Lepisosteus oculatus: one gene and its partners. The protein of the gene in region 4 purifies or fractionates together with the protein of the main gene of each other region. This does not show direct contact. Links are inferred from orthologs where the notes say so. Each region holds a gene or a part of one and is shown on either strand. Other genes may lie near its edges.

Evidence for each region.
Region 1: the proteins of exosc4 (region 4) and hbs1l purify together in Homo sapiens (affinity purification with mass spectrometry; 3 studies listed by BioGRID and IntAct, with this or other methods). This does not show direct contact. The link is inferred for Lepisosteus oculatus from reciprocal best matches to the Homo sapiens genes EXOSC4 and HBS1L.
Region 2: the proteins of exosc4 (region 4) and mphosph6 purify together in Homo sapiens (affinity purification with mass spectrometry; 7 studies listed by BioGRID and IntAct, with this or other methods). This does not show direct contact. The link is inferred for Lepisosteus oculatus from reciprocal best matches to the Homo sapiens genes EXOSC4 and MPHOSPH6.
Region 3: the proteins of exosc4 (region 4) and exosc10 purify together in Homo sapiens (affinity purification with mass spectrometry; 9 studies listed by BioGRID and IntAct, with this or other methods). This does not show direct contact. The link is inferred for Lepisosteus oculatus from reciprocal best matches to the Homo sapiens genes EXOSC4 and EXOSC10.

What each region holds. Positions count from the first base shown.
Region 1 is NC_090697.1:50,019,634-50,027,479, reverse strand, and holds the start of hbs1l (HBS1-like protein), read left to right. Parts: upstream 1-4,832; 5' UTR 4,833-5,000; coding exon 5,001-5,043; intron 5,044-5,568; coding exon 5,569-5,634; intron 5,635-6,987; coding exon 6,988-7,122; intron 7,123-7,260; coding exon 7,261-7,455; intron 7,456-7,846. UniProt on the Homo sapiens protein: GTPase component of the Pelota-HBS1L complex, a complex that recognizes stalled ribosomes and triggers the No-Go Decay (NGD) pathway.
Region 2 is NC_090715.1:14,997,534-15,005,197, reverse strand, and holds the start of mphosph6 (M-phase phosphoprotein 6), read right to left. Parts: upstream 3,006-7,664; 5' UTR 2,858-3,005; coding exon 2,807-2,857; intron 125-2,806; coding exon 12-124; intron 1-11. UniProt on the Homo sapiens protein: RNA-binding protein that associates with the RNA exosome complex. Involved in the 3'-processing of the 7S pre-RNA to the mature 5.8S rRNA and play a role in recruiting the RNA exosome complex to pre-rRNA; this function may include C1D.
Region 3 is NC_090720.1:2,766,148-2,773,712, forward strand, and holds the start of exosc10 (exosome complex component 10), read right to left. Parts: upstream 3,014-7,565; 5' UTR 2,817-3,013; coding exon 2,691-2,816; intron 2,203-2,690; coding exon 2,066-2,202; intron 1,690-2,065; coding exon 1,566-1,689; intron 994-1,565; coding exon 889-993; intron 608-888; coding exon 442-607; intron 310-441; coding exon 201-309; intron 1-200. Other genes in the region: serine/threonine-protein kinase mTOR, read right to left, coding at 3,701-3,716, 4,131-4,236, 4,804-4,884, 5,339-5,419, 6,268-6,333, 6,616-6,751, 6,986-7,060, 7,248-7,320. UniProt on the Homo sapiens protein: Catalytic component of the RNA exosome complex which has 3'->5' exoribonuclease activity and participates in a multitude of cellular RNA processing and degradation events.
Region 4 is NC_090701.1:28,951,316-28,958,320, reverse strand, and holds the start of exosc4 (exosome complex component RRP41), read right to left. Parts: upstream 3,020-7,005; 5' UTR 2,836-3,019; coding exon 2,665-2,835; intron 1-2,664. Other genes in the region: oplah (5-oxoprolinase), read left to right, coding at 6,632-6,802. UniProt on the Homo sapiens protein: Non-catalytic component of the RNA exosome complex which has 3'->5' exoribonuclease activity and participates in a multitude of cellular RNA processing and degradation events.

The DNA of each region.
Region 1 (7,846 bases), on a different chromosome or scaffold from region 4:
CTTCCAAGTAGATGCTGGTGAATTTGTTTTGTTTTTATTGAGCCAACCGTTTGACCATAGTTAGTGACTCAGTCTTAAGTCTAAATGCCACTGGTATGGCATACTGTACCTTACACACCTTAAATACTGAAGACTTACATAAACATAGAACCCAGAAGAGACTTGATAAAAGTTGGCAAGGTATTGTTTTCTGTACCTAGTGCACCGACATTTTTTGTAGGTTAATTCATTAAACTAGTTCAGGTGGGCAGCTGCATCAGCATGCGTAGTCTACCAAGGAACAAGTAATACGTTTATTCCATGCTGAAAAGAGAAGAGAGAAAACACATGGTTTCGGCTGTGAAGCCTTCGTCAGGTGCTCACACCTCTTCTCTTTTCAGCATGGAATAAACCTATTACTAATTCATTAAACTATTTAACATTTCTCATCAATGGGGTTGATTGATGTGATCTACAGTGAACGTTAGAGGTTTGTCGTGTGTGTCACCACTGTTGCAAGCAATAAAATAATGTGCGATGCCTGCTTTGCACCAGACTGCAGTTGCTATCTTGTGAGATTCTGGCTCATTCCTCTTGCAGAACCTAGCAAGCATTTGCCTAGTCACTGGTCACTGGGCCCAAGATCCAGATCATCACATGAATATTTAGTGGAGGTCAAGTCTGGCAGGTAAGGCATCCATAAAATTGCTGTCACATTTTCTTCTTGTCTGAAAGCCATTGGTACACAAGAAGCATGAGGACATGTGTTGTTCTGCTGGAATGTTGTCATGTTACAATGTCACATGGAAGGCCAGCGAGACAGGGGTCTCAGGACTGGTTCAATGTAGTGCCATGCACTCCGGTTGCCATCAGTCACTGCAGGTAGAATTCTGTAGGGATATTGTTTAGCTGTACCATCCTGCCAATTTAAAAATTGGTGGCCCTGAATGCCCCAAAACCAATTTTAAAGCATTAACAAATTTGACGAAGCATAACACAGTCACTTTATCAAAATGACACCAAAACATTCAGTCAAAATCCAAAATCTGCATACTTCAATTTTTTTATACATAATGATCATACATAGAATTATTATTTTCTTTTTTTCCCTTGCAACAAGAAGTAAAAGAAAAAGAAGAATAAGAATATAACAAAACTTTGTTAAAGTGGTGCCGAGATTCATCCTTCATAAGAAATGGAAGTAAATGCTCTATCAACAGTTCACAAAGTCTTAACTGTTATGAAGCCAATGACAGGCCTACATTATAGAAAAGCTTTATGATATGGAACTATTGTGATGTACTGTACTGTATATATTTGAGAAACTCTTGTTTGAGGATTGTACTAATTAATTTTAGCACAGTGTGGGTATTTCAGATTTTTCATTTTTTCTGCAATTTGCCAAGTAAACTATTCACCTTTTCAGGAAAATGAGTGGAGTTAGGAAATACCACATACTACCTTAAAAAAATAAATGCTTTAAAATAGTAGTATACCGCATACTACTGTATGGCTGTGTACAGAAGTATAAGAAAATAGTATGTATATATCTGTTATGAGCATCAACAATTTACTAAAAGCCTCCATTAGTCTGTTCTACTATTATAGTAGCTTTGTTATTAATACAGCTTAGTTTGAGAAGAAACTAGAGTTTCTCATTTTGAAATCTGAAATTCATATTGATTAGAATCTCCAAAAATGTGCTTGCTGTCCGTTTGAATTCTTGTAGTAGCACTTACCACTAATATCTCAAATATAAAAGTAATTGTCAAGTTTATCGTATTGTGAAAGCCATTAAGTGCAATGAACAACAACTGAAAATCTTTTATAACATCCTTAAGAAGAATCTTCCTATAATCTTCTTTTAGACAAAAAAATAAATACTTCTGAATATACATATGTGGGATTTTATTTGAAATGTATATTTTATGTGACAGAAATTCTAAAATTCTGGATTGAGATTAGGGTACAAACATTATGATTTTAAGCCTATTTCTATATCACACAGATTTAATAAGAAAATCCTTCCCTAGTTCAAATTTCCCTTCTAGTTTCGATGAAGAAATAATAATGTTTTATCTGTTTAAGAAGGCAACAAAGCAGAGCTTGGTTTCTGATTTTTCTTTCAATGACATTGAACAAAGGAAGAAAGTGAAAAAGGTACATCTGTAAATTTGCTTGCAGCATGCAGCACACCTGTCCACAAAAAGGTGTCTCATCTCCTGTGGATGCTGCTTATAAAAATGTTTATTTGAAAACAGTCAGGTCATTGCTCCACTGACATCGACATGCCCAGCTGTTATGTGAATGGACACTTAGACCTTAGCCTTTCTCAGTGCAAGCAAAAAGAACTATTTTCTCAAAACAATGTCTATATAAGCTGTGTCACATAATGTTGATGTTGCTGGCTCTTCAGCTTCACCAGTTCAGAGAGGGACTGTTCAAAATGTTTAGAAGAAACCAAAGAAGTAAGCATAGGCAAACTATTTAACACCTTTAAGTAATACTCATTTCTGCCTTACTGTATAGATTGAAACTGTAGGTTATTTTAGGAGGAAATGTAATTTTTCACTCATGACAATTTCTTTCCTCCTGCAACTTTTGTGTCTGTAAAACCTACTGTACTTTATGGTATATCAATCTAAGCTGACTGTCCAGCTGGTGCCAACTGTAGTTTAAAACATCGGGTAGGCTGTGCAAGTCATCAAAACCTACCGGTATTGTTTTCCAAAGCTTTGGTAAGTAGAAAATGAGGTCTGTCATTTGTATCAGGGGTGCACTGTAACTAAAACATTTTACTCAATTTGGACTTAGATTAAACCATAATAAACATATTTTGGCAGTTACCTGAAAGGAAGGTCTCCTGCTACATGTTGACTGTTCACTGAAATTAAATAATTTAACTACTGTATGTCATGCAATTTATCAGATGTCTGGAATGTGTGCTAAAATTTTTGTCATGCCATGTTCTTCATATTGACGATCTTCTGTGCTACAAGGGTGTAAAGCTTTGAATGAACAATATTTTAGTTTCACTTTGAGAACCATCCATTACCTGAAAGCTGCTTATCCCGATGAGAGGACAGGAGACTGGAGACTGGAGTCTATCCCAGAAGCTGTTTCACAAGACAACAAAGCAGAGCTTTGAGGGAGGGATCCAGGTAGGATCCAGGTAGGACCAAGAGCACATGAGTTGCCTTCCGCTGGACGGGACCTGAGTCCATTGCAGAATCATGGAGAAAGCGGAAATTTAGCACAGCCAATAATACCTAGGCAGCACTTCTTTAGAAGTTGGGAGCAAACCAGAGCACCTGGAGAGAACTCATTTCAAAATCTGGAGACACAGTCACACCTTAGGCCAGACTAGGGCTATGAGACATCAATGTTACCTGCCATGACAATGTACAAAATATCTCTTTAAAATAACGGGTATGTAATCAGTATAATGGTTTTGAGCCGCTTAAATTATAACTAATGGAATGGAATACTAATGGTAGCTTACTTTACCAGTGTTAACCCATCATACATACTGGGCTCATTTCACACCGAAATGATTTTTACTGGCCTAAGCCAAAGATGGATATTATACCAGTTTACTTACTGTAAGTAATTCAAGTAAAACCAGAACGTGAGAGAAGAGGCTATCACAGAGAAAGAACTGCATTATCAAACTCCTTACAGGGTCTGTGACCCTGGTCCCTGACAGCCACAGTCTCTTTTGGTTTTAACTCACAGCAGAGTTCTTACTGACTTATTTGGATTGAGCCTTCTCTTAACCACTAGAAGTTGTTATTGTTCCAGATCTCCCCTTGTCAGCTACTTCAATTCACTTCTAAACCTTTTGAGACTACGGATGACTAGGACCTGCATCCTGAATGGTTCTCACTTCCATGTTTCCCAAGTTATGTTTGGTCTGTTAGTACTGTATGTAAAACAGCTTAGTCTCCGGTGTTTTGAAGTGCTTTTTAATATTTTTCATTACACCTTTGAAACAATAAAAATTACAGTCTAACTTTCCAAAGATTGTCGAAGAGAACCAAACTGGATTTAGCTGTTTGAAAGAAATTTAGCTGTGCTGAATATAGTCACAAACTCTGGATTGTGTGTTTATGCTCCCTTTCAAACAAAGGGTTAAGAAGAGCTGAGTCAGACAATACAAAACACACTCAACCTGTGCCCGAGTAACCTGCAGGAAACCCCAAATATGCGTCTCTTCTACATTTTCAAAAGGATGTTTTTCCCTACGACAAGTGATTGATCAGCTTGTGCAGCTTGCTGTTGTCATAACCTTGTAAAAATGTTAACAGCAGGTGAAACAGTTATTAACCTTCATGAACTGTTCAGGCCATAACAACGCGTTTAGCACATTTTAAAAGGGCAGATTGTACCTGCATCGTTGTCCTCTTTTGTTATGACTTAAAAGTCTCAGCCACAGATTGTTTGGTTTCATAAATTACACAACATGACACCCCCTTGCCTCCTCCCCCACTAACATATGTCATGAGAAAGTAAAAGTAAGAACAAAATAGAAAGAGCCCTATTGCATCTTTGGAAAATTAACAAGTTTCTTAAAATGCTAACATGCTTGTCTTTTCCAGTTTAAGTATTTTCTTTTTCTTTTTGGAGTACAGTGGATCAATAGTTTGGAATATTTCAGTTTATGATCGCAGCAGTATTGAATTCAGAATTCCACTTTCATTGTGTTACAGACCCAAATATTTACTAAAGATTGACTGTAACATGTCAATTTAGGTGAGCAGGTGTAGGACTATTGCTTGAAATAACTAACTTAATTTCACTTCGGCGCGTCTCAATGGTTAACTCGGCACAGGCAGAAAAACGGAGCTGGAGCAGAGAGCTGCAGTGCGCTTGCTTGGAGAATGCGCAGTGAGACGTCGGTGGAAACAAACATGGCGGCTGGAAAATGAAACGAAGCAGCTACGGTTACATTGCTGATTTATCACCAACAGTGCGGTTTTATCTTTAACCACCTATAAAGGGGCGAAGGGAAAGAATCCAAAATGTCTCGACACAGAAATGTCCGGGGCTATAACTACGACGAAGGTAGACGCTCTTCCAAGTTGACTGTAAGATTGTGATATTCCCTTGTCAGGAAAATGGAAGTGCTGTCGTGTCCCTTCCACAGGCTGGGCACAGGCCAACGCTTTAGTCAGAAAGTTTTATAACATACGAGCTAGCGGATACATAAAAATAGCTGTAGTTATTCTATAAAAGCGCTTTTGTGTACGAATTTGCGAATGGAATGAAACTGAATCTTTCCTTTAAAAAGCAAAACAAGATGTACTTCATGTGGTTTTACATTTCCCCCATTCATCCTGGCCTCCTCCTCGTTTCAAATTAGCAGTACTGATAGTTTAGGACACCCCTGTACGTTAGTCATTATTGAACATTATAGAACTTCTGTAGCTTTATGTAAATAGTTTTGGTGTTTAGGTGCTTTTAGTAGTTAACACAATTTGTGTCATAAGACTTAACTGTTCATTGCAAATACCTACCAGTGTGCAACGACAGATAATACATAGTGTACCATGCTTAGATATTTTCACAGCTACAGTTTTGTATACACAGATTTTGAAGATGATGATCTATATGGGCAGTCCGTGGACGATGACTACTGCATTTCCCCTGCTACAGGTTTGTGGGATGCGTTTCTTATGTGTCTGAACTTGAATTCTAAAGTTTTCTGAATCAAGATTTTGCCGATTTGATTAGATGGTTTTCTAGTGGTCTAAGCACTGTATTTGTTGAACATGGACCTCATTGAAGATGTGGACGTTTATGCAACTTGGTTATTTTCAATTTGAAAGCTAATCAAAGGATTCGATATAAAACCTAAATTAAGTGGATGAAAAATCTGCATATTTTGTTTTGTAATGTTTTGAACATTGGCTTTTATCTTGTGTAGTATGAACTACACATGATGGATGCGCATGGATAAGTGTGAAACTATTTCTGATTAGTATAGTTTTAACATAATCACACTGTTTGTGGTAAGACTTGGTGATGTTTCACACATTTAGGGTTTTTATTACTTTTCTTTTTTTAATTCTTTCTTGGCAGTAAATATGGATTGTTAAAAGTTGGATATTCTGCATTTTTATGATTCTACACATGATATTGTATTAAAACATGCAATTGTCTTCTTTGCATACTTATTTAACTTTAACAAGAAACTACAGTTTTGAATAAAGTCATATTTTGGTGTGGCAGGTTTATCAGTATTAAACTAAAGACAAATGAACAGAAGCATTCTGGGATGATGTGTCATCTGAGCTAGTAGATGAGTATGCAATGTCTATATCTTTTATTGGTCAAAGCCATTTGTAATATCTTGCATCTCTCTAGTTACTCAACCAATTTATTAAAATTCGTGTTTGCCTGGTAGGATTATCCATTCACAATGGAATAATGTGGCAGTGGGTTTGCAAGTGGTCTGGTATTTGACCTCTTTTGGCATCAGTTGTAGCTGAACACAATTAAAAAACAGTTTACTAAAACGTGTGACGTCTGTGTTAAAGCTATCTGTCCACAGTAAGTTTTTACTTTCAGATGCTTAGTGTTATTTGTAAATAAACGTTTTGGATCTTTCAGCCAGGTTTTAAATCATTTTTGGACAACTAGTGTGATTTGTCCAGAGTATCCTTGAGAGTAAATACATTCAACAAAGTAAATCAATTTAGTGAATTTTGGGAGAAATGAAGAGGCAATTTATGGAAAAGGGACAGATGATTTGCATGTGTAAGGATGCTAAGTAACCTATTGAATTGTGGCGACTCATGTATGTTGATGTTCACTGTCTTAATGTTTTGAATTTTTTTGTTGCCAGTATAGTTACAAAACGATCCCCTACCATGGAATGAGGCAGCTTGACTTCTTGTGTCACAGTTTTCTGCAGATGAAATGATGGCGCATGCGTAAGGCGGGAAATTCTGGATGATAGATTTTGTGCGTCTCCCCCCTTAATATCCCAGTGTGCTTGTTTTGCAGCTGCCCAGTTCATCTACTCCCGACATGAGAAGCAGGCAGCCTATGCAGAGCCCCTGGAGGAGGAGTATGGGGCCGAAGAGGAAATGCCTGTCTCTCCCAGTCCGAACCATCACAAACTTGACACTCTTTCTCAAGGTATAACACAAAGCTCAAGTGATTTTAACAGATGTGACATTAATTTGATGACGCTATCAGTTTGCAAGTCATATAACATTTTCTTGATGTTAATGAAAGGCGATCAGCACAGTTCCCTCACACACTTCTTGTTTCCAGGGCAGCTGTACTCCTGTCTAGATCAGATGCGAACAGTGCTTGGCGATTCCATCCCTGATCCTGTGTTGGTAGAAGCTGCACTCAGCTGCCAGTTTGACCCACAGAAGGCTCTGGACTTAGTGCTTTCTGGGGAAAGCAAGAACACACCAGCAAGAAATCAGCAAGACAATGTGTCTGCTGTGAAAACTGACAGAGGTATGTTTGTATTGTCTTAATTCGTTCTGTTGTTTATTCAGCAAGCAAAATACATTTCTTTGCGCGTGCGTCACACCTTAGATTTTCTCATGACTTCGAAACCCTCAGTCGTGCAGTTGGTGTGTGCAATTCTGAATAAGCGGACAGCAAAAAGTTTTTTCTACTATCTGAGGCTTTCACTAAATTGCATTTCAGAACACTGTTGCTTCAGTGTTTCCAACAAAGTCAGGAATAACTAAATATTTACACAGAGGTATTGTAGTTAAAACCCTGTTTAAATATTGATAGTAATTAGGAACTGTTTATTCACTGAATAATATTCCCTCATTATTACCTGTAATGACTTGAGAATTAATTTGAGAACATGAGAAGTTCATTTTCTCAAATGGTT
Region 2 (7,664 bases), on a different chromosome or scaffold from region 4:
GCTGGACTTACTCCTTGGCCTTGAGCTCTGGCAAATCGAGGTACCAGTGTTCATCGCTGATTATCCTCTTTTCTTCCTCCTCCAGCTGCTTCTTGACTTCTGCGTCCAGGCCGCGTTGCATGAACTGGGGAAAGACGAGCATCGTGCTTCAGTCAAACAAACCACAGCTCCAGGCCTGCCATTGCTCACAGAGTCACAAGACAGGGGCTGGGAAACCAGCTCATACCCAGCTGTTCAGCTGAATGTTCTGCTGGCAACAACCCATGAGAGGCTTGGGAATACTTGTAGGCCGAAGAGAACACACATGTGGTATAAAAAGAACAATTCATCATTGAGTAGGCTGAAGAGGGTGGTCAGGGAATGTCACACACAAAAACCGGTAAATACTGAATATTAAATGGTTGGCACTAAACATGAACTTCCTTCTCCCAGTTAAGTAGTCATATTGCACAAAGTCCTGCTGCTCGAGTGAGCATGGGGTAGTGAGGACTATAGAAAAAGCACAGCACAGATCTGCAGGATCCTATATTGACCAGCTGTAATCCTGCCCTGTTCGCACAGCTGAACTGCCATCACTCAAGAGGCTGAGCTCCAGGGGTTAAGGCCAGACATACTATTTAATAAAAGTGAGCCAGAGAGTTCCCTCCCTGTGTGATTGTGTTTTCCCACAAAGCCAAGAACCTAGCAAAGGCCAAGATTTTTTTCTTTATCAGAAAAAGAAAACATTTTTGTCCACATCTCTTTACTGAAGCAGCACATTGCGCATCGTGTGCTTTGAGCCCCGAGTCGTGTTTAAAACACGCCGCATCTAAAGCTCTTCACAATGTTGATTTCTGGACAGAAACGGCCGATGTCTGAGAAATGAGTCGGATAAACCCTCCAAGTGTGGGAGGAGAGGACACAAAAGCAGAACTCATTGGGAAAATACCAGGGAGATCTGCGAGCTCAGCAAACACGATCACCAGAAAAGAGGGGGAAAAAAAAGAAACCTGCACCTGTAAACCCACTATCTTGAAAACTGGCAGACCATATTGAGCTGTTGATACTTTTGTCTTTCATGTGCTTTGGTGATTAACGGCAGGATCTGCGAAGCGTGCTCTTCCCTGACAACCCCAATATTCTTCACATGTCTCCAGCAGTCTTAACATCTCAAGCTTCTCTTAGGCTTGGGATACACAGCAGGAGGCAATTACTGGGCACTCTACCATTTCACAGGAATACTTAAAGTAATTCAAACCCGGGACAACCTGCACAGCTCGGCTCTCCCAAACGAAAAGAAGCGCCGTGCCAGATCTCTCGCGCGTTAATGAGGTGCAGCGAGCGGACCGAATGATGCACGAGGCCCCGAGACAATTCTTGAGAAGCGGCGTGTCGGGAAAATTTTTGAAAGGGCTTTATCCCCCCCCCTATTTACAGGGCCCCACCGTGATGACAAATTCAGTGCAGAACGGAAAAAAAAAAGAAAACAGGCAGGAGAGACAGGAACACAGAGTTCTTAGACTGCTCAAGGACAAATGTTCCAAGGACTGAACAGAGACGACAAAAAATCAAGCCACTGGCTTTCAGTGCGATTATCTGTAAACCTGGTGGGTTATTTGATCTTCCTTCTACAGAAAGCTTCAAAATGAAGTCATTTGAAAACTTTCACATTATCTCTTTAAAATATATAAGCTCACCCTTTTTGATATGTTGTACTCCACGCTATGTATAACTAAGAACAGTAACGGATGAGAGGAGGCCATCAGGCCCCATGTGTCCAGCTCGGTACTCAATTGATCGTAGGCTCTCATCCAGCTCATTCCTGACAGAAGCCAGGGTATCAGCCTCGTCAGCTTAGCTGTGTAGCTGCACACTCCCACAGCCCTTTGGTTAAAAAGGAGCTCACTGTGCGTCTAAGAACCGCTCCTTCATCTCCGTGCTTTCTCACGGAGGCAGAATTGTCATGCTGTGCGTAGAGATACATTATACTACTATGAAACAGAAGATAATACAGTTTCTTTCACAGCGTATAACAGTATTACATCTTTTTATCGGTCTTTTCTGTTCCTTTTGCACATCAGGGTATTCGATGAACTGAGAAAACTGGTTACAGTACATTTTTGCAGTCGCGCACAGTAGCTGGCAGAGAAACTCGCCAAGCTGCTGTGGGTTCAGCCTCTCCACTAGGATCAGCAGCAGAGGAACACCCGAGGTCTTCTGACATACCCCGATATGTACATTTGCAAATGTCACCAAAAAGAAGCAACTTATAAAAGAGGAAAAAAAAAAAACTCCTTAGCGGCAGTAGTTAACATTTCCGTGGATTCTCTAGGCAGATTAGGAAATGAAACCCGAGGAATGCAGGACATTCTACTGATCTATAACAGGCTTCATAATGGGACCGTCACACACGGATTAAATACAGAGACAGACAGGATATTTACATTACTGATAATAGCAGATACTTAAACAAATGAAAGAAATCTACTTGACTGTTGTACTTCTGGTTATAAACTACTACATTATGAAAATCGAGTGCACTTTTATCAAACGCATGGGCTAAAAGTTACGTTCATAGCCCTCTCAACGTGTTTCAAAAGCACTCACTTTGTCGGATATTAATGGAGTACTCTTAATAAGTATCCAGGTTTTCATGACACACACGTCCTTAATATCTTACTATAAACTCGTGCATGATTTTACAGTTTATACACAAGAATCTCTTGGGAAAGGAGCATGCAATTTTCAACATTTAACACACGGGGGAAAAAAAGGCCCGATACCAAATCGATTAGGAGTCCTGAGACGCCACACTACAACACATTACCTTCATTCGTAAGAGGTTCTTGGACAGCTTCGCGGTACCATCGCTTGCCATTTCAACCACCGAGTTCGGCAAAGTAAAAAAAAAAATCTAATGTTTCTAAAAATATCAACCCTACGTTACTCAGACTAATGCTAAACCTCCAGACGGCGGAGAGGAACACGCTGCAGTACACCGAGCGAGACAGTATCAATCCATCTGCCGATGCAGTCCCCCCCCCAAGCCCAGGCCAATGGATCACCGATTCAGAGTTACCTCTACGGAACACACAGTTACACGTGTCTCCACTCCGCCGCTGTTGCGGACCATAGACAAAGTGTTGAACCATACATTTGCAATTGTCGCCTATTACAAAACAGGGTCGCATCAAGATGGGCGAAATCTAATCCGAGTGCCCGGTTTAGACCAGTTTTATAAATATCACATGATAAATGTATATATTTATTATACACGTAAATGGATCTATATAATCACGGTTAAGAACTGATGCTGTGCATTCGGATTTGAGTCCGGGCTGGGGCTCCTTCTGTGTGGAGTTTACATGTTCTTCCCCGATGATAATACTTCCTTACAATTATAAAGCGTTTTTTAGACACTCCACTCAAAGCGATTTATAGGTAACGGGGACTCTCCTCCTCCACCCCCACCAGTGTGCAGCCCCCACCTGGATGATGCAATGGGAGCCATAGTGCACCAGTACACTCCCCACACACCAGGTCTCGGTGGGAGGAGAGCAGAGTGATGGAGCCAGTTTAGAGATGGGGATTATTAGGAGGCCATGACTGTTAAAGGCCAGAGGGACATGTAGCCAGGACGAGAAACGCCCTGGGATTTTTAATGACCACCGAGAGTCAGGACCTCGGTTTTACGCCTTTTTACAGCACAGTGCCCCCATCACTATCCTGGGTATTAGGACCCACAAAGACTGCAGGGTGAGCGCCCCCTGCTGGCCCCACTAACACCTCTTCCAGAAACAACCTTAGTTTTCCCAGGTCTCCCATCCAGGTACTGACCAGGCCCTCACCTGCTGTGCTCCAGTGGGGAGTTGCAGGGTGATATGGCAGCTGGCTTTCCTACTTGGCCAGAGTTTCCTCGCCAGAGACACGCGAGTGTGTACATCTGTCCAGGGGGTACCCTCACTTTGCGCCTTGTTTCTGCCACGTAGGGATCGCTGGGGTGCGCTCTCCTTACCAGGACTGAACCGTTTCTGACAGAAGATCGAGCAAGAAAAATCGAGAGATTAAGTCATTCCAAACCAGGAGCGATTTTTTTTTTTCAGGTGCAGTTTCACGTTGGGCCGGCGGGACTGCGAGCGCTGAACTCTCGCCAAACTAAAGCGATTGAAGATCGAGAACGACTAAGCGTTGGTCTACTGCTTGAAATACCGTCTTCTTTTACAGTCAACTCTAGGAAACATCGTAGAAGAGTCTTGTGGGGGTGAGTTGAAATTGGATTTTTAACCCGGTGGAATGGTTTGCCTGGTTTCCAGGTAAATGGTTATTGAATAACGCTCAACACTTGAAACATTGACACCCTTTTCCTTGGGGAGAAGACTATAACTCACCAATACTTATAGGGCAATGCATGTATTTTCATTAAATATTCCGAATATAATATTAATTTTAACATCACTTTCTACATATCCTTTATTAGCGTAGATTAGTCCCTCCACACTTCATACTGTGTCATGAGGATCATTTCAGAATAGCACAAAAAGTTGTGTATATTCGTTTCCTTTTGCGAGCATCTGAGTCTGAGTCTGGTTGGTCTGTCTATATTAGCGATGTTCCTATAGCCCGTGGATACAATATTTTTGTTTTCTCTCAAAGGTTAAATTAACTGTATGACTTTTAAATTCCTTCAAGAACACCTGTGAGACCATTTGAGCTTTTCTCCGCAGAACACAAGCGCAGCTTGTATTTTATTGAGAGCAGCAGCTACGCATGAGAGGATATACATAGCAAATGGTTTATTCATGTTATGCTCCGGGAACAAATTTAATATGCTCCCCTGTTTGGTGTGTGTTTTATGAATTCCTGCGCTTGCCCGGCAATCCCTGTGATTGAGCAGAACTTTGCTGTTCTTGATACAATCAGGTGTGCGTGCGTTATTTTCCGAAAGCCCGCGAAGCAGAACCACTTACAATGAAATTTGTTTTTGACTAGTTCTAATTTTCTTACCTGTCATAGCAGCGAAGATGAATAAACTTCGGCGGCATGCACTTCAGAGATCTGAGTTTAGTACACGCCGAGCAGGAAATCGTGTTTGACAAAACAGACCATTTCTCTTTTCGCATGATGTTGTTCAGTGTTTTGTGGTTTTGATGGATTTTTTAAAACAGTTTTTCAGCTAGATTATGATGCCACGAAGTAAACACAAGCAAAAACGAAGAAAACGGCGTAGCTCACACTTTGTTAATAAAGGAGCTGCTGTTCAGACACTGCATTGTCACGCGTTTTTTTCTTGAAAAATGACTAAACTGAATTTAACCTGAAACATCGAAAAGACTGTTTCGCTTTTAATTACTTCTTGTACTTCTTTAAAGAGGAAAAACACAGTTTAACACGTTTTTTTCTTCACACGTGAAGCGACTGTTATTTCCTAATTTTAAAAATATCGGTGCCCACGTAGAAATGTGGTTGTCCGGTGATGATGAATTGGGTATTCAGCTACACGAACTGCGTGTTTAATGGCTAAACTTCTGCCACTGGTGCAAGTGATTACCGGGGTGTTGCTATACAGCAGAATAAAACTGATTATTAGGAACAAATATCATTGTGCTCCACTGCCCACTTGTCTTTCATTACTGTTGATCAAACAGGAGAAAAAAGTAAAAGTAAGCAGAAACGGCCTTAGGGCCAGTGTGAAAATCACTTTAAATACCGCATAGTGCAGTTTGAGTATTTCTTTATTGCAAATGTCAATTAATAGTCATTTGAGAAGAAATATCACGAGAAACCATAGACATAAAAGTGTTTTGCATTATGTAAATATCAATTGCTAGTGAGAACTCAATCGACGCCACCTCTTGTGCAGTTTATGCAAAATTGTGTATCGTTTGTACTGAGTCTGTAGGCAAATATGAATGAAAGATGAGGAATGGGATACTTGATGTGATAACTAGGAAAATATGCTTTAATTGGTGTTTCACTCAGTGGATGTCAGGGCTGGACATAATTTCGAATCAGTTATTTTGGGATCAGTTACTTTTTTTAACCCAACTGATTAAAAACGGCTAATTTTATTTCCACACAGTGGCTCGTGGGCTGTGCATTACAATGAATAAGGCTCGTGGGGAGACTAAGTCGCCGCTGTTTGCTGGAAAGTTGAGAGATCCGTCCATTTTCTAACCGCTTCTTCTAGTTCAGAGTTGCGGGAGAGCTGGAGCTGTATCTAAATCTACTCTGAACAAGCTGCAGTATGTCCAAAATTCAGCAGCCAGAATCCTGACCAGGTCTAGTGCAAGTGTTCACATTACTCCTTTCCTGGAGTCCTTGCACTGGCTTCCGGTCAAATTCCGCATAGACTTTAAAATCCTCATGCTCACCTATAAGGCTTTACATGGCTTGGCACCTCAATACCTGTCTGAACTTTTATCGCCCTACTCCCCACCTCGCAACCTCCGCTCTTCAAATTCTGCCCTCCTTACTGTCCCCCAAGCCCGTCTACATTGTATGGGTGACAGGGCCTTCTCCTGCTATGCCCCCAAGCTCTGGAACTCTTTGCCCAAGGATATCAGAGAGTCACCTTCTCTAAACTCCTTCAAATCCAGACTTAAAACCTTCTTCTTCAGGAAAGCCTTTACTTAACTGGTTCCATTCTTCACCCCTCTGCTCTTAATACCACCTTCCACAGCCTCCTCTATTGTTATTGTTGTATTGTTGTAATTATAATTGTGTCCTATCTTGTGAAATCTTCTTATTTATTGTTGTAGTCTTTTTATTTATTGTTATTGTCATCCTGTAAAGCGCTTTGAGAAGCAACCTTTAAAGGCGCTATATAAAATAAAGTTTATTATTCTTCTTCTTCTTCTTCTTATTATTATTATTATTAAACACAGGGAGAACAAACTGTACAGACGGCACCTCAGGTCTGAAACTGAACACAAAGCCCCAGCGCTTCGAGGCACAAATTCTAACCAATGTGCCGCCAGTGTACAGATCCCAGAACAACCTGCCCCTTGCCGGATGTGTCCCACCTCCTGCTGGTGATACAGCATGACTCAGGCTTGAACTTGGGATGCATGCAATACAGACATTAGCCATTAAGTGGAGCAAGTGCCTTCGCTTGGTGAGACACTTGGGTTCTCCATAAAAATTGTTGACAGCATGCAAGAAGAAATTATGATTTATGTCTTACATTTTAATATTACTGTCATACCATGCCCTTAGGAGCTAAAAGCTGTTTTATGAGTGTTTTTTAGAGTTTAATTTAGAGTCCTGTGATCAGAGTTAAGTGCAACATTGAGTTACTGAATAGAAAGCTTAATTGTTTATGTGTCAGACATTTGTAAAATATGTCTTGTTACATTACTTGCTAGTGTCACACTTGAATGAACCTCCACTGGGTCAGATTCACCGTAGATGTGGCAGCAGCTGTTATTTCTATGCTGATGAAACCCGACATTAATCAAGCACAGTCTGTTTTGTCCTATGGCTTAGATCATGTGAAAAATAGATGCACTTTTACTTCTAAACTCTAGCCAGACTGAAGTTTTGTCAGTTGTATCTCCTTAGTATCTTTGCCAATGTGACAGCCCTTGGCTGTTTACCGAGTAGCTCAACTGGAAGAGGTGTTTTCCCGCATGCAGATGGACTTGTCTGGTGGTGGGTTTGAGCCTGTCAGTGACAGAGAGACCCCT
Region 3 (7,565 bases), on a different chromosome or scaffold from region 4:
ATATAAGTTGTGTGGCAGATTCCAAGCAATACAATATAAAGGTTACAAATAAGAGCATTACAATCAACTCCTCTTAGACTTAACTGGTTAGTTTTAGGCAAATGCCTTAAAGCAATACAAGACACGATAAAGTCCACTCCACGGTACACTTGTTTTATTTTACAATGGTATATATATCCAATAACCACTGGCTCTCTCACATGTCATCTAGATGCTGCTGTGTTCTCTGCTGGTGGATAAAATCTGCCAGTGCTGGAGGCACATCCAGATCTTCAGGCCTCTCCTTGCGGATTTTTTGGTCTGTAAAATCTTAAAAAGACAAACGAGTAAAAAGAATCAGACCTACAATGTCAAAGACTGATCATCATACCTGCATTGCCTCATACAAATTCCTTTTCCAGATGACATTTGCAAGGTCAAAGACGCTTGGGACCAACTTACACGTTGGAAGGGATTTCAGCGCGTTGGGTTTGACGAAGATCTTGGGGACGAAGGGTGTGTTAGAATTGTCGACCTTCTCCCGAAACTTCAGCTGAGGACGCTGAATGTTTTTTGCGTGCAGAAGGCGAAATGTCTCAGACTTGGCCGCCTTGCTGGAATCCCTGCTCTAGGAATCAAGAGACAAGGGACTTTTGCTGGATGCTATTAAACAGAGCAAGTTATGAAAAAACAAAGGTAAGCACGAGACATCCACTTTTCTAAAGCCAGACAGACTGTGAATTGGGAATTCCGAACCCTACAATGGCTTTCCAAAACGGAGATGGAAGGGGTCTACTGTGGGAAGCCAGGAGTATGGAATTTACAGATTGATAGAAGTTCCGATTTATCCAACACCTGAAGCCTGTGAATTGGCTTCGTGAGTTCATGGTTAGCCATGAGCGGTCTTACCTTGCGGTTCCAGCTAGATACGATGGTCTTTGGAGGCTGAATACCAGCTGGTAAGATGGGCTGCTGGTTCCTGTTCACTCCTGAAGCCTCATCCAGTAGTATTCCCTGCAAAAACAACAACAGATATAATTTAAAGCCAATCATGACAAGTTAGATATATCAAGGGTTTGAGAAGAATATGCATTAAAAGAATTATACATCAACTCAGAATCAGCTTTAAGCAGGGCTCCTCAAGATTTGCAATACAAGTTATAGTTTAGTAACCAAAATGCTGGTTTAACAAACCTGGTTGGTGAAGGGTGCCAATTTGTTTTTGTGTGCTTTATACTGCTCTTGAACGGCTTTTTTACCAATTCAGCCTTTATTGTCTCATTTTACAGCACACTCCCAACAAAACACAATGACGGACAAAATCTTAGCAACCAAAAAGTCAGTGCAACAGTGTTACAGCTTTTAAAACTATCTCTGCCCTTCGAGCTGCTTTGATTAATCTGATAGTTGCTTTTTATCCAAAACGATTACTGTTTTTGTAAACGGTTCTCAGTTTTAAAGTTTGGACTCTCGTTCAAAGGAGTGAGACCCATGACCTTTTGGGCAGACCAGAGCCCTAAGCCTTCTACCATTCTGGACCTGGTTTTACATTGAAAAGGCTGTCCAGGAAAAAGATTATACTGTACCACTCTCTCCAGTATGACATCATTGGAGTCAACCAGCAAGTCGAATCTCTCCTCCAGGCCAGTCACTTTGTTGCGATCTCTCATGTGAGATTTGCAGCCATGGTACTGCATCAGTTGACTCATACTGCAAATACATCCATTACATCGTCACAAGCAATCTTAAAGACACTAGAAACACTTCAGAGATTTACAATGTCTCTGTATATTTTCATGTATGAATTCATGTACACAATTATATGCATGCATGCATAAGCTGATAATGCAAATAAAACTAATAACACAGAGAGAGCTTCAGACAAACTAGTAAAAATCTGACTGATCTAAACAGCACTTCACTACTACCAGATCAGCTACTGACGTAGCTAGAAAGAACTCCTAGGACTGTACACGCATGAAGTCGCTTTTACACAGGATCTAAACGATACAGTTATTAATTTCACCAGCATCCATTCAATGCTTTTTATGTTACATACTGAATCACATTTACTATAACTGCCTACCATTGCAAAAGTCTTTCTCCCTGCGTTTCGCAGAACTCCTGGAATCCGGGAAAGCTCCGGTAGAAGTCGAATTCGTCCCCAGCCTGCGGCAGATTTGCAGAAGCTTTCGTGGCCGCTACTACAGTTCCCAAGCCGTGCTGTAAAACAGATTCAAAGAGCCACTTGTCAAGAGCAGCCAGTCAAAAACCAATTGAAACTAAACAACCGAAACACGATACAGATGCGTATGCTCGTACAATTTAAGGTTTATACTCCACAACGGCAGTGCTTCTTATCGAGCATATCACACTGTGGATTTTGCACACTTTTTTAATGGTACTTCTTAAAACGTCGGGAAAGGTAAAACCAGACATTTCCACGTTAACAGCAAAGCTCGTTGCATTTTTAGGGGGAACGCACGGAGATAAAAATCTGCACCTTGTGGTATAATACTTAAAAAACGGTAGCCATCACTCATAGAGCCTTATAAAGCGTGACTACTCTGCACCTTAATCACACCGTCTTTTTTTATTAATTACACCGTTTACAGCTGAGCTGGTAAACACGCCACTCGTGAACCCTTATTCACCCACAGGCCTTTATACGAGAATGACCGGGGGTATTCACCAATAATTCGTCCACAAACCTTCACAAATGAATCGGCATCCTTAAAGCCGGGCAAAAGTTCTGGTTTTTCGCCCTCTGCCTCTTCGTTTGTCGGAGAAATATTATTTCCCTTGCCTCTGCCACTCCTGCTCGTGGACGCTGCCATCTTGAAAATGTTAAAGTCACGCGAGACGTGGACTCCTCTTAGGGGAGGGGGAGGAACCGGGCGGCATGGCCGAAGAAAATAATAAATAATAAGACCAACAGTACCTAATCAAAGTATGATAACAATAATAATCCCTTGTATTTATATAAAACTTTCATTTCAAAGTGCTCCTCCGCCGCCACCACTCTAGAGCAGCACTCTTTTTGAGTAAAACGAGACAACGATTCGACACCAGCAGATTCGATACACAACAGACATCGCTATGAGGTTCAGAAATAGGTTTACCACATAAAGCCTACAATGCAACTTTATCAGGACAGTGGGGGTAATGTCCCTTCTCATTTATTTCGTGTTAGGTGATTTATTTAAATTACATATTGGATAAAGCTGCTTTTGCTTTCAAATCTACATTTGGCCAACCAATGCAAAAGTACAAGATTGAAGAAAAGTCAACCCAATAGTATTCATATGAAACGCATTTACTTTTTAAAGTTACAATTCAGTAATACATTTTTTTAACAAAGGAACACACAGAGTATGCAAATGTCTTTTTTTATCTACTATTTATTGCCAAAGAAAACTTACAGTACATTACAGCAGACTGATATTAATTCAAAAGTTTATGGTGAGTAAATTAAATTAAATTTAGTTTATATTTAACTCATTTTAACAGTACGCAAGTGGCATTTCACAACATTCCAAGTCCACAGCAGTAACCTCATTTGAGTTCAGTTTAGGTTTAAATTGCGTTCAGGGCTTTCAAAATGTGCCATTAACACTGCTATACGTCTCCATGTCTGGAACTGCGGAGTCTGTTTTGTGGTGATCGGCATGGCGCCAAGTGTTAGTGAACGGTGTAGAGAGAAAAAGATGTAGGAGCTCTGCTACCAAAATGGACACCTGTAGGAGGAGAAAAGGAAAAACAAGTCAGATGCCTCAGATTGCAGATTTCCTTTTGTTCAAGGGGAGATTTGATGTGTCAGCTTGCTTTTTCTGCAGAAATACAAATTCTTTCAGTACAAAAAAATCCCAATAAAACAAAACCTAACTCCTCGTCGGAATCCCAGTCTTAACCTTTTGTAGGCTTCACCTCTGTCTACAGAAGGGCAGAACTCCTAATCCCCAGACACAGTATTACACAACAATCCTTTAGTTTGCTTTGGTATATTTGGTATATTTACCACCCTGGCCGAACCCTTCTTGCCTACATCATCTATCGTTCTCCTACAGTGACAAGCTGTTGTCTGGACATATCTGAAGAACCACACCCCAATCTGTCAACTGGGGATTCATGTAGGCACCAATAGTGCTCACCATCCAATATAGCATTGGCACAGATTCTCGTGGGAGGTCGCTTGCTTGATTAGGAGCTCCACTTGAGTTGGGACGTCCAGAGTCTCATCGTGGGAGAAATCCCGACCTGAGAGGGGACAAGCAGGGAAGCATCAGAAGCCATCCTTCAGGACTCCAGGAACAGCGAGTAATTCATTTTAATCTATGTGTCATATCAAAGTGGGGATGAGGGCTAAGTACTTATTTAAAACCTTTAATATCAATTTCAATGCAACATCATTTTTTTTGTTTTTCAATGTGTGTCCACTTTATCATTAATTTTGGTCAAAGTTGTTGCTGCGAAACAGCTGTTCTAGAGTGCAAGAACAAAGCTGTACAGATGTAGACCATGGATGTCCCTCACATGAATAAACAGCTTCCAGGCTTTTATTCATGTGAGGTGGTGTCACCCTTCAGACTACATGACTGAACAAATATTTCCTAAAAATGAAAAAATCTCTGTGGATTTTCTGGGCTGTGCTTTTCTCATGTAATATTTTAAAGATAAGTTGTTTTATTCCCAGATGGGGAGTTCCTGTTTAAGAGATACACTCATATAGTACTTCACCCACATTGTTGGAAAACAAGTTTGTTCACCAATGTCTAAGCCTGATTGTTCCAAGCTTTGATGGCATTTTGACTGTGCTGTACTCACCGGTCAATTTGTCTCTGACTCTGTTGATGATTTGAATAGCTTTTTTGTTCAGGGCTTCAGGCTGCACTAGGCCATCTCCAACTGAAAGGGAGAAAACATTTTAGATTCAGTTCTCAAAAACATGTGTCCCCATTATCTTGCTGAATGTTTTGGAAAATGCATTGAAATGTTTGACAAAAGGAAGTTGGTTCAGCCAAATAAAGTAGGACATTTTCTGCATTCTATTAAGTTAAAGAATGCCAGTATTGTGTTCCTTCTCCTACCTTCTGTCACGCTGTTGACAAAAGGTCTTTCTTCATGTGCTATCAATGAACAATTCAATTTGTGGTGTTAGAAATGGAAATGTTTTTTTAAGACAGAAGACAGGCAAAGGCAAACTGAAACGTTCACTGTTGTTTTGGTTTTCTGATCCACGCATCTGTGGTAAGAATTGAAAAAGAGAAGCTTGTCTCTTCTTGGGAACAATCTTTTCTCAAGCTCTATGGTCTATGACCAGATAGCAGACACGCCGGTATTCCTGCGAGTCTGAACTCACTGAAGGAGTGAATGGATTCAGGCACTGTGGTTCCTGGCTTCTTGTGTGTCGTTTCACCAAGCTCAATTCCCTCCAGGGCTTCTGAAAATGAAAGAAAGCATAGAATATTTTTTTTTTCGGTATGAAGACGTTATTCTGACCGTTTCTGCACCCTACACCCCATTTGGATTCTCCCACTCTGGAATGCAGATCCTTCTTAGGGAAAGCTAGAAATAAGAGTTCAATCAACTGACCACCATGGCTCGTTTGACATGAAGTTTCTTCTTGTTCCAAAGATCTCATCCAACTGTTACTTGAAAGAAGTCAGGCTCCATAACCTGGCTGGGTAGCTTGCTTTACTCTTTGAGTAAAAACATTCCTCCTTGTTCTTAGTTTTTAAATGGTTTGATTGGGTCAGTGCCTTTGAAAACCTTGAACATTTCTATCAGATCCCCCCACGGTCTTTTCTGTTGCACATGAAAGAGATTCAGTTCCTTCAGACTGCCAGTGGAGGACAGTTCAGTCCCTCAAGTCCCAGAAGGTCTCTGGTTGCTCTTCTCTGGACAGATTCCAAAGCAACAATATCTATTCTATAACAATATTCTCAATGATACATTTTTACAGTTTTAACATAATATCCTTTGATTTAAATTTGACACTTTTAATTACATAGATTTGATCACCTAATGATTCATCGCCATAAACACCCATATCCAAGGAGCCCATGATATGGCCTTAAAAAAAGTTTGCTTTCCTTCAGTAGGCTTGCTACAGAGCAGAGGCACAAGCAAACCAATTTAATATTCTCCCTCTAGTCCTCAGAAGGCTGAGAGTGAGTGCAGAGCCATGTACTGATTGCCCACCATATTCACCAGGTAACATCCCAATTGAACACGTCCTGAGACCAACCTCTCTGCTACAGTGCCACCCCTCCCAGCCCTCGTGCTCACCTACGGACTGCCCCGCGGTGTAGGAGTCGGTCCTCGTCCTGGATCGCTTATTCCCTTTTGTGTTCGCTGTGGACAGAACCGAAGAGCTGTGAGCGAGTTCAAGGTGGTACTGGTGCAAGAGGTCATGCACAGGCTACTACCAGAAATGAGAAGTTCTCACACAGTTAAATTTAAGATGCAACTATGGCTAAAAGCATGTGTACTTTATGATAGGCAACACATAAAAGACACACAGAAGACTACAATTTCCTGAACGCTCCCATGATAAAGATTTAAAGAGGATGTTTTCTGTGGGTAGTCAGGCTGGCGGACCGGTTGGCCCCGGGGCCTGAGCTGCGGGTCCCTTACTGTCCATGAGCCTCCAGTTGAGCAGGGGGTCGTAGACGAAGGCCTCCAGCACGGCCATGACGCTGTCCCTGTGCTCCCGCAGCACCTCCATCACCGTGTGACACGTGATCCTGTAGTTCCCATCCAGGCCCGTCACCTGGACGGCAAACACGGAGCGGAACACCCTGAGACCCCAGAGCACGGGCTGGCCCGCATCCCTGGACTCACCAGTCCTGCTTCTAACAGCACCCTGGTTTTCTTATTGACCTCTCTGCATGGTGCCATCAACATCAGTGCACGCACAACACAGTTGTTACTGTGTAACATTCATTTATTTTGCACTATAAAGATTTTTTTAACCATTTCCCCCCCCCTAAATACACCCGCTCACCTCCATAGCATTAGTAAGCATCCTGGTCAGCCTGAAAGGAATTTTCTCCGGGAATTTCTCTCTGGTCATGGCGACCTGTCAACCACAGCAACACGTTAGCGTTAATATCTCCTTCACTCTGTTCCTTGCAGGAAAGAGCTCTTCTCTTCCCCAGCAGACACAACGCCTACACTGCCAACAGTGGGTCCTTCCCATATCATCTCTCCACCTCTTCCTATCACTTTGCGCTCTGCGGAGTAACGAAAATCATTCACAAACCCACCTCAAAACAGTCGCCAAAGTCGATGTGGAGGATCTTCCCACTCAGTCTGTCCAGCATCAGGTTGGAGGGATGCCTGGGGATTATGTTTAAGGGGATAGTAATGGCATCATGTCTTTGCTTTAATATGCCATTGCAACAGGAGTAACTCTAGCCTTGTATCTGTGCTGGTTCCACTGGGCGAAGTTCAGGCACGCGCTCGACTGAATGCAAAGCCATACTATGACTAACGAACCCAGCAGTAAGTCCAGGGCTGCATGCAGAAGTCATAAAACACGTACAGGCCGGACAAAAGAATAATGCAAAAAATTGACCATTTAA
Region 4 (7,005 bases):
CTTGGCCAGGATGCTGGGGAACCCCTATTCTTTTCTAAAAACACCCTAGGATTTTTAACAACCACAGAGAGTCAGGACCTTTGTTTTATGCCTCATCCGAAGGATAGTGCCTTTTTTCCCCACAGTAGTGTCCCCATCACTATACTGGGGCATTAGGACCCACACACACCGCAAAGTGAGCACCTCCTACTGGCCCCTCTAATACCTTAATACCTCTTCCAGCAACGACCTTCCGTTTTTTCCAGGAGGTCTCCCATCCAGGTACAGACCAGGCTGACACCTGCTTAGCTTCAGTTGGTTGCCAGTTGTGAATTGCGGGGTGATATGGCTGCTGGCAATTCATAACTGATAACTTTTCATAACTAATCGCCAGAGCACCGTACAGCAGACCTTGAGTACTATAACAAGCACTGGAGCAGAGAACAGCACAAAACACAGAAATAAATAAACAGTGGCTTATTTTAATGTAACTCTGAAGTTTAAAAGGCGAAAGAATCATTCATATTTTATGAGGTCAGCCTAATACTGTATCATTACCTCAGTGGCACTGCACAAGCTATGAGAGACCCAGGGACACCTGCTAAGCTCTTCACTGTTCGGAATCTGGAAGGCTAACATTTCTGCAGATCAGACGACACTACAGGATACCTGATCTGCAGATCTCCCACTACCTCCTGTGCACTGTATTGCTCTGTACTGTCCGCTCCCTTTCCTGCCTCTGCCAAAAGCATAACCAGACGTCTCTAATGTCTTTGTACTGCATTTTAAACCTTGCTTGCAAAGTGCTAATGTTACATTCAATTGCAGATCATTTCACACAGCCACCACTAGTGAAACCCCTGTGATATTTTTCCTAATGGACTGGTCAGTCTTGTCTGCAGAAGGTCTGGATGTTCTACGTATACAGTGGCATACTTCCATGTGAGTACCCACACAGCTGTTTCACTGTTCTACGTTCAAGTGCTCAGCAACAAGGCAATTTATCAAAGAACTTAAATTCCATCACGATGTGGTTCTTGTTCATTGCTTCACAGGCAATGGTGACTTGAGGTGCCATTTGTGCAGAAGCACAGACTGCTGTGCCACTGTCTGTGTGTATTTAACCTCAGTCAGGCCCTATAGCTCAGTTTCACAGATGTTTCTCAGCATCATCTCCAATGCTTTTTCAGATAGCCTATAATTTCTATATATATATATTCAAGGAGGGATCTTTGTTATAGTTGTTATCATAGATATAGAAAAATGGTCAAAACATTTTTCACAGGCTTTTTAGTTTTCCTGTGCCCTAGGTAGAGTACCTGCTGTGCCTACTGGATAATATGACCTTACCCTCGACAAGATAATAAATTACCTAGAGTTCCAGCTGCTCACAGAGATCACTTATACATGTTTATACTGTACAGTTTCCATATAACTGTATTCCCAAGCATACTTTCAGACAGTGTAACAAAACATCACTTAATTAGCCCTGTACAGTTTCTTGCATTAGGAATTCGTCTTTTTGCATACCCCAGCTTGCTCTCCATGAGACACAGACAAACAGACAGGGAGAGAAGCTTGGGGTCAGAGCGCAGGGTGAGCCATTGTACAGCCCCCCTGGAGCAGCTGGGTTAAGGGCCTTGCTCAGGGGCCCAATGGAGTAGGATTCCTCTGGGGGCTTCAGGATTTGAACCAGCAACCGTCCAGCAACAGGCACAGGTCCTTAGCCACAGAGCCACTGCTCAGCCCATCTATAAGTTTTTAAAATTGCCTGAAACTAAAAATAATTCATATGCAAATTAAGATGAAAATGTTGCAGAGATACATACTGGTGGTTAATAACTCACAACACCCATCAGCTGTTAAACCCACTGATCAATGAAAGTGAGAATTCACTACAGGTAGGTTTTGTAGATGGCTTATTTATAAAACCTAAAAAGCTACCTGGATCATATTAGGATATGCATGGGCAGCACAGTAACAGAGTGGTTGTATTGCTGCCTTGCAGCACTGGGGCCCTGGGTTCAATTCCTGGATTCATCTCTGTGTGGAGTTTGAATGTTCTCCAATCAGCCTCTTGTGGGTTTCCTCCAACTGTCCAGAAAAAATCGGTCCTGTGTGTGTGTGTTGTGTGCATCCTGGGATGGATTGGTATCCATTCCAGGGTGTACTTTGCCTTGCTCCTGTTGCTTGCCGAGATAGGTTCAGGCCATTCTGCAACACTGTATTGCATAAAGTGTTTAGAAAATAGACTGATAGCATATGCATAGTATATGCAGAACTGAAACAGCAACTAACGAATTCATATTTAAAATAACTTCGTCTGTGGTTAATTTAAGAAGGTTGCATTACGTAACTAAAAAAGTGAACGTAATCTCGTTCAAAGAGCAGGTCTTATTCTTACTGAAATAGTCCATGTGAACAAACTGTATACGGTCAACCTAACTGTACAGCTTTCAGATTGAATCGTCTCGAGCATACCCCTGACGTTGCATGTAACTTCCTCTGTGCATCAACGGCAACGTCGATCGGATTAATCAAAAATGATAAATCACTTTCACAAAGGAGCTTCGAACGTTACGATCATCCTCTATGAAATTAATGCCAGTCATTGAAAGGCAGTAGGCTGCCTACTCTACACACACCCCGGGCCCGGCTACTTTCCCTGCCTGCCAGGAGACTCACCTCATGCGGTCCGTACACTACCGCGAGCGCCTTGGTGTTCCCCTGCTCGATGTAGGCAGACCCATCGCCTTGCGCGAAGACCCCCATGCGGGCTTGCACCTTGCGGAGCTCGGAAGGCTTCCTCCCATCCAGCCGGTATCCCTGATCGGACAGCAACTCTAACCCGGCCATGTTTCAAAACTCATGTGCGAAAGTGATACAGCCCGTCAAATAAAAAAAAAACTACTATACCCACAATCCTTCTGTTTTGCCGTCGCTCTATATATTGTCATCTTGTTCGTCATCTTCCTTGTCTTACGTAGTGTATTGCATATTCATTATAAAATCCTTGTCAGTAATGTTCCGCATTTTTGGGATTTCATGTTTGCCCTTCGTGATGTCCCATTAAACACGTTTTTGTTTGAGTCTCTCAATTAAAAACATTAAAATTAAACATTTTTACTTTTAGCTTGTGACGCTTATATTACACAACATATAGAAGATGCAAATACTTTTTAAATGCATTTTGAACGACAAAGAAAAATGTTTACAGTAAAATAAGCAAATCAGGTTAATACGTTAAACAGTTTGCCCCTCGGGGATATTAAAGACGTTCGAAACTCCTCACATCCTGGGGGTGTCAGTGACCCACCATGCATGATAACGTTGTCTTTTGAACCCAAAGTTTCTTGCAAGCTTGAAAGCGCAGATACAGCGTTTTAATAACAAAGCCGAGAGGAGGAACGGGGCTCGGGAATTGATTGGCTGGCCGGCCAGGTCTCATGCATTCTCCCAGAGCAGTCTGGATAAGATCTTTTCTGTGGCAAGAGAGAGAGAGAGGTAGCTTGTGGAGGTGTAAGAAGGAGCTTAGTTAGTCCCCGAGGTCAACGTAAAGCAGACAGGTACAGTTTGGTGTCAACAAAGCAGGTAAAGGAGATCTCACTGCACTCCACTGTTCAACAACCTCGATTTCATCAGAAAATCACACCGAGACTGCGAGACGTCAGACCGTGTTGGAGCCAGACTCATACTTCGTGTTCAGTGCTTGTCTCGATGTAAGTCTGACTTGACTGGGTACAATCTGCGTACGGCGCAAAGCAGAGAAAACTGATAAACTGGAAACTGGCAGTGATGTTGTCAACGTTAACGATGTATCTTTCTTTATCACTAATTTTAACTTAATTGTATACTGTTTAGAAATAAAAAAGTAGTAGAATTTACTTTGAAATTAAGCAACAAGTCAAGAATGTTACTTTTCTTCACGGTTGAGATATCGGGAAAGATACACAATGTAAAAAAAAAATGGCAGTCCAATCTTGGACCAGGGGTAACTGGCAAAACTGTCAAATCGCAGAGCTTAGAAGGCATAGACATGGTCAGTACTGGGATAGGAGACCTCCAAGGAAAGCCAGGCTGCTGCTGTGAATGGTTGTGGACCAGCAGGGGGGACTGTGCACCAGAATTTCCAAACCAGTGCCTCACATTGGTGTCCAGGGACACTGCTGTAAGGTATGCTATCCTTGTGGTGAGAAATAAACAAAACATCTGTGTGTGTTAAAGATCTAAGAGCAAATGTTAAGATAATTGAGGTGTTATCTTAACACTTTAATATAGCCTGGTCCACCTGATGTGATATGTAGTAGGACAGCTGCTGTAGAATATTTGAGGGTGTTATATGAAGCTACTGGTTTTTGGGGTGAAGTTTTTACATTTGTTTCTGGGGTCCCTCTGGACAGTGTCTGAGAAGTGTCAGGAGTTCCAAGGCACATTGCTGGGAAAGACTGGGAGATTTGCATATGTTATGCATTAGAGTGTACATGCATAGTAGAGTAATACAGGATCCAGAACTATACAACACAGGTTCAACAGTTCGGCAGTGAAAGAAATGCAGAACTTCTTACAGAGACATTTAAAAAGGAATGTCATTTAATCTAATGCAGAAAGTCATGTATTCCTGATAGTAGCTGTGGCAATCTAGGGCTGTTATTAGTAGCACATGGCTCAAGACAGAAGTACAAGCTGGAAGAAAAACCAGTAAAACCACTGAAAAAACAGTATTCTGAGAACTTACTGACTGATTCCTGCAGTGCATGTAATCTAAAAAAAATCACTTAGTCCATCACAGGACACACACTCACTAGGTAACCAAACAGGCACACTAGGTAACCCTACCAGTATATGCTTGGAAGGTGTGAGGAAACCAGAATAGACACAGGACCATGGACACTCCATGGAGAAAGCACATCAGGCCTGAATGGAACTCAGGACCCAAGAGCTATGAGGCTGAGTTAATGCCCATGTCATCTAACATAGAAAGGGAATGTTATCTACTCTATGTGCAAACTCTAAAAAACACTTTTGTAGTTACCTATAAGTGTAATGTTACACATTAACCTTTTTTCACAAAGCTTTAACTGATAACTGTTGAGAACAGTTTGCCATAGCAAGTACTGGGCTTCTAATCTCTGTTCATGTGGATTTGGCTATTGCAGTAACAGTAGTATGCATCTGTGGGCACTATGAAAAACTAAACTTGCGGGACCAAGTTCTTTGTTGTCCCTTTTTTGAGCATTCAAATACAAATACAAATACCATATCTTTCAAAACCCTGTGTAAGAGAAGGCATCAATTTTGTTTTTTCTTTTCCACAGTATTGCTAGAATACTCTGTTGCTAAATTTTTACCCTTAAAAATGTACAGTTGCTTTCAAACAATGAATAAATATTGTCCTGTCCTGGAGTAAAAAGCTACAGAATTAAACTTGTAGGTCATCTCATTACAGGGCCAGGCTGATGTGTCTAAGATCCCGGGGTATCTTTCTATACTGTGTGGCTGGGCAGTATAGTCCATTGCAATTATTCAAATTCAGTTTCAATGAGCTTTATTGGCATGACCAACCAATTATGAAATTGCCAAAGCAATAACAAGTTCAAAGGCATGTTCAGTCATCTACAACAACAAAAAAATATTATTTGGGAAGCTCGATCTTCGTTTCTGAGTCTGTGATAGTTGATCTTCTACTGGGCTTCCAGCTCTATATTTGTTTTCTAATCCTCTCCCGCAGTTGGATTGGAAACTGTTGTGATTCTAGCAGGAATGGAAATTAAACTTGTTATTTTAAGGAGGTATCTTTATCTGATACCAGAGTATGTCGTGCACTACAGCAGAAAGTGCATCTCTGTCTCTGTCCTGCTGACAGTGGGAAAACAGCCTGTCCTCTCTAGGCAGCCAGGTCTGCCTGTGTTGACCAGTATTTATGGGCATATTGTGAAAAATACTTCACCCAATAACAAAGTATTGTCTAGTATCAGTGAAGGACCTTTCTGAATTGAAGGAAACTTTAAAACTTTGGAAGAGGTGTTAGTGAGGCCAGCAGGGGGCGCTCACTCTGTAGTCCATGTGGGTCCTAATGCCCCAGTAGAGTAATGGGGACACTATACTGTAAACAGGCGCCGTCCTTTGTATGAGATGTAAAACAGAGGTCCTGACTCTCTGTGGTCATTAAAAATCCCAGGGCGTTTCTCGAAAAGGGTAGGGGTGTAACCCCGGCGTCCTGGCCAAATTTCCCATTGGCCCTTACCAATCATGGCCTCCTAATAATCCCCTTTATGAATTGGCTTCATTACTCTGCTCTCCTCCCCACTCATAGCTGATGTGTGGTGAGCATCCTGGCGCATTATAGCTGCCGTCGCATCATCCAGGTGGATGCTGCACATTGGTGGTGGTGTAGGGGAGTCCCCATTACCTGTAAAGCGCTTTGAGTGGAGTGTCCAGAAAAGCGCTATATAAGTGTAAGCAATTATTATTATTATTATTATTATTATTATTATTATTATTATTATTATTATTTTTACCTCAATATTTTACCACTTTATACATTTCTTCCCTTGGCCACAACAATATCTGTATACTCAGCTGTCTTGCTTATTTTACATACAATCGGTCCCTTCATTGCCGTCTCTCCTCGATTTTCCTCTTCTCCCTCAGCATGGCGGCCGTGCTGGAGAAGTTTGACTTTGCAATCGATCGGGGTGGCACCTTCACGGACGTGTATGCCCGCTTGCCCGGAGGCCGGGAGCGAGTCCTCAAGCTCCTCTCACATGACCCCCAGAATTACCGTGACGCCCCGACTGAGGGCATTCGCCGAATTCTGGAGGAGGTGAGGGACAGGGGAGAACGGGAGATGGTTGGATGGTGGAGAGGGAGTCAATAAATGAAGGGGTAGAAGCAGAAGGAATAGTGTCAGAAAAAGAGGGTGGGGGGAGTGAGGAACTGGGAATTCTATTCTGTCCTAATAATCTCTATGACCTCTGGCATGTGTCTTGATTGTGTCTGTCTGCTTTCTTGGCTGGTCACCTGGTG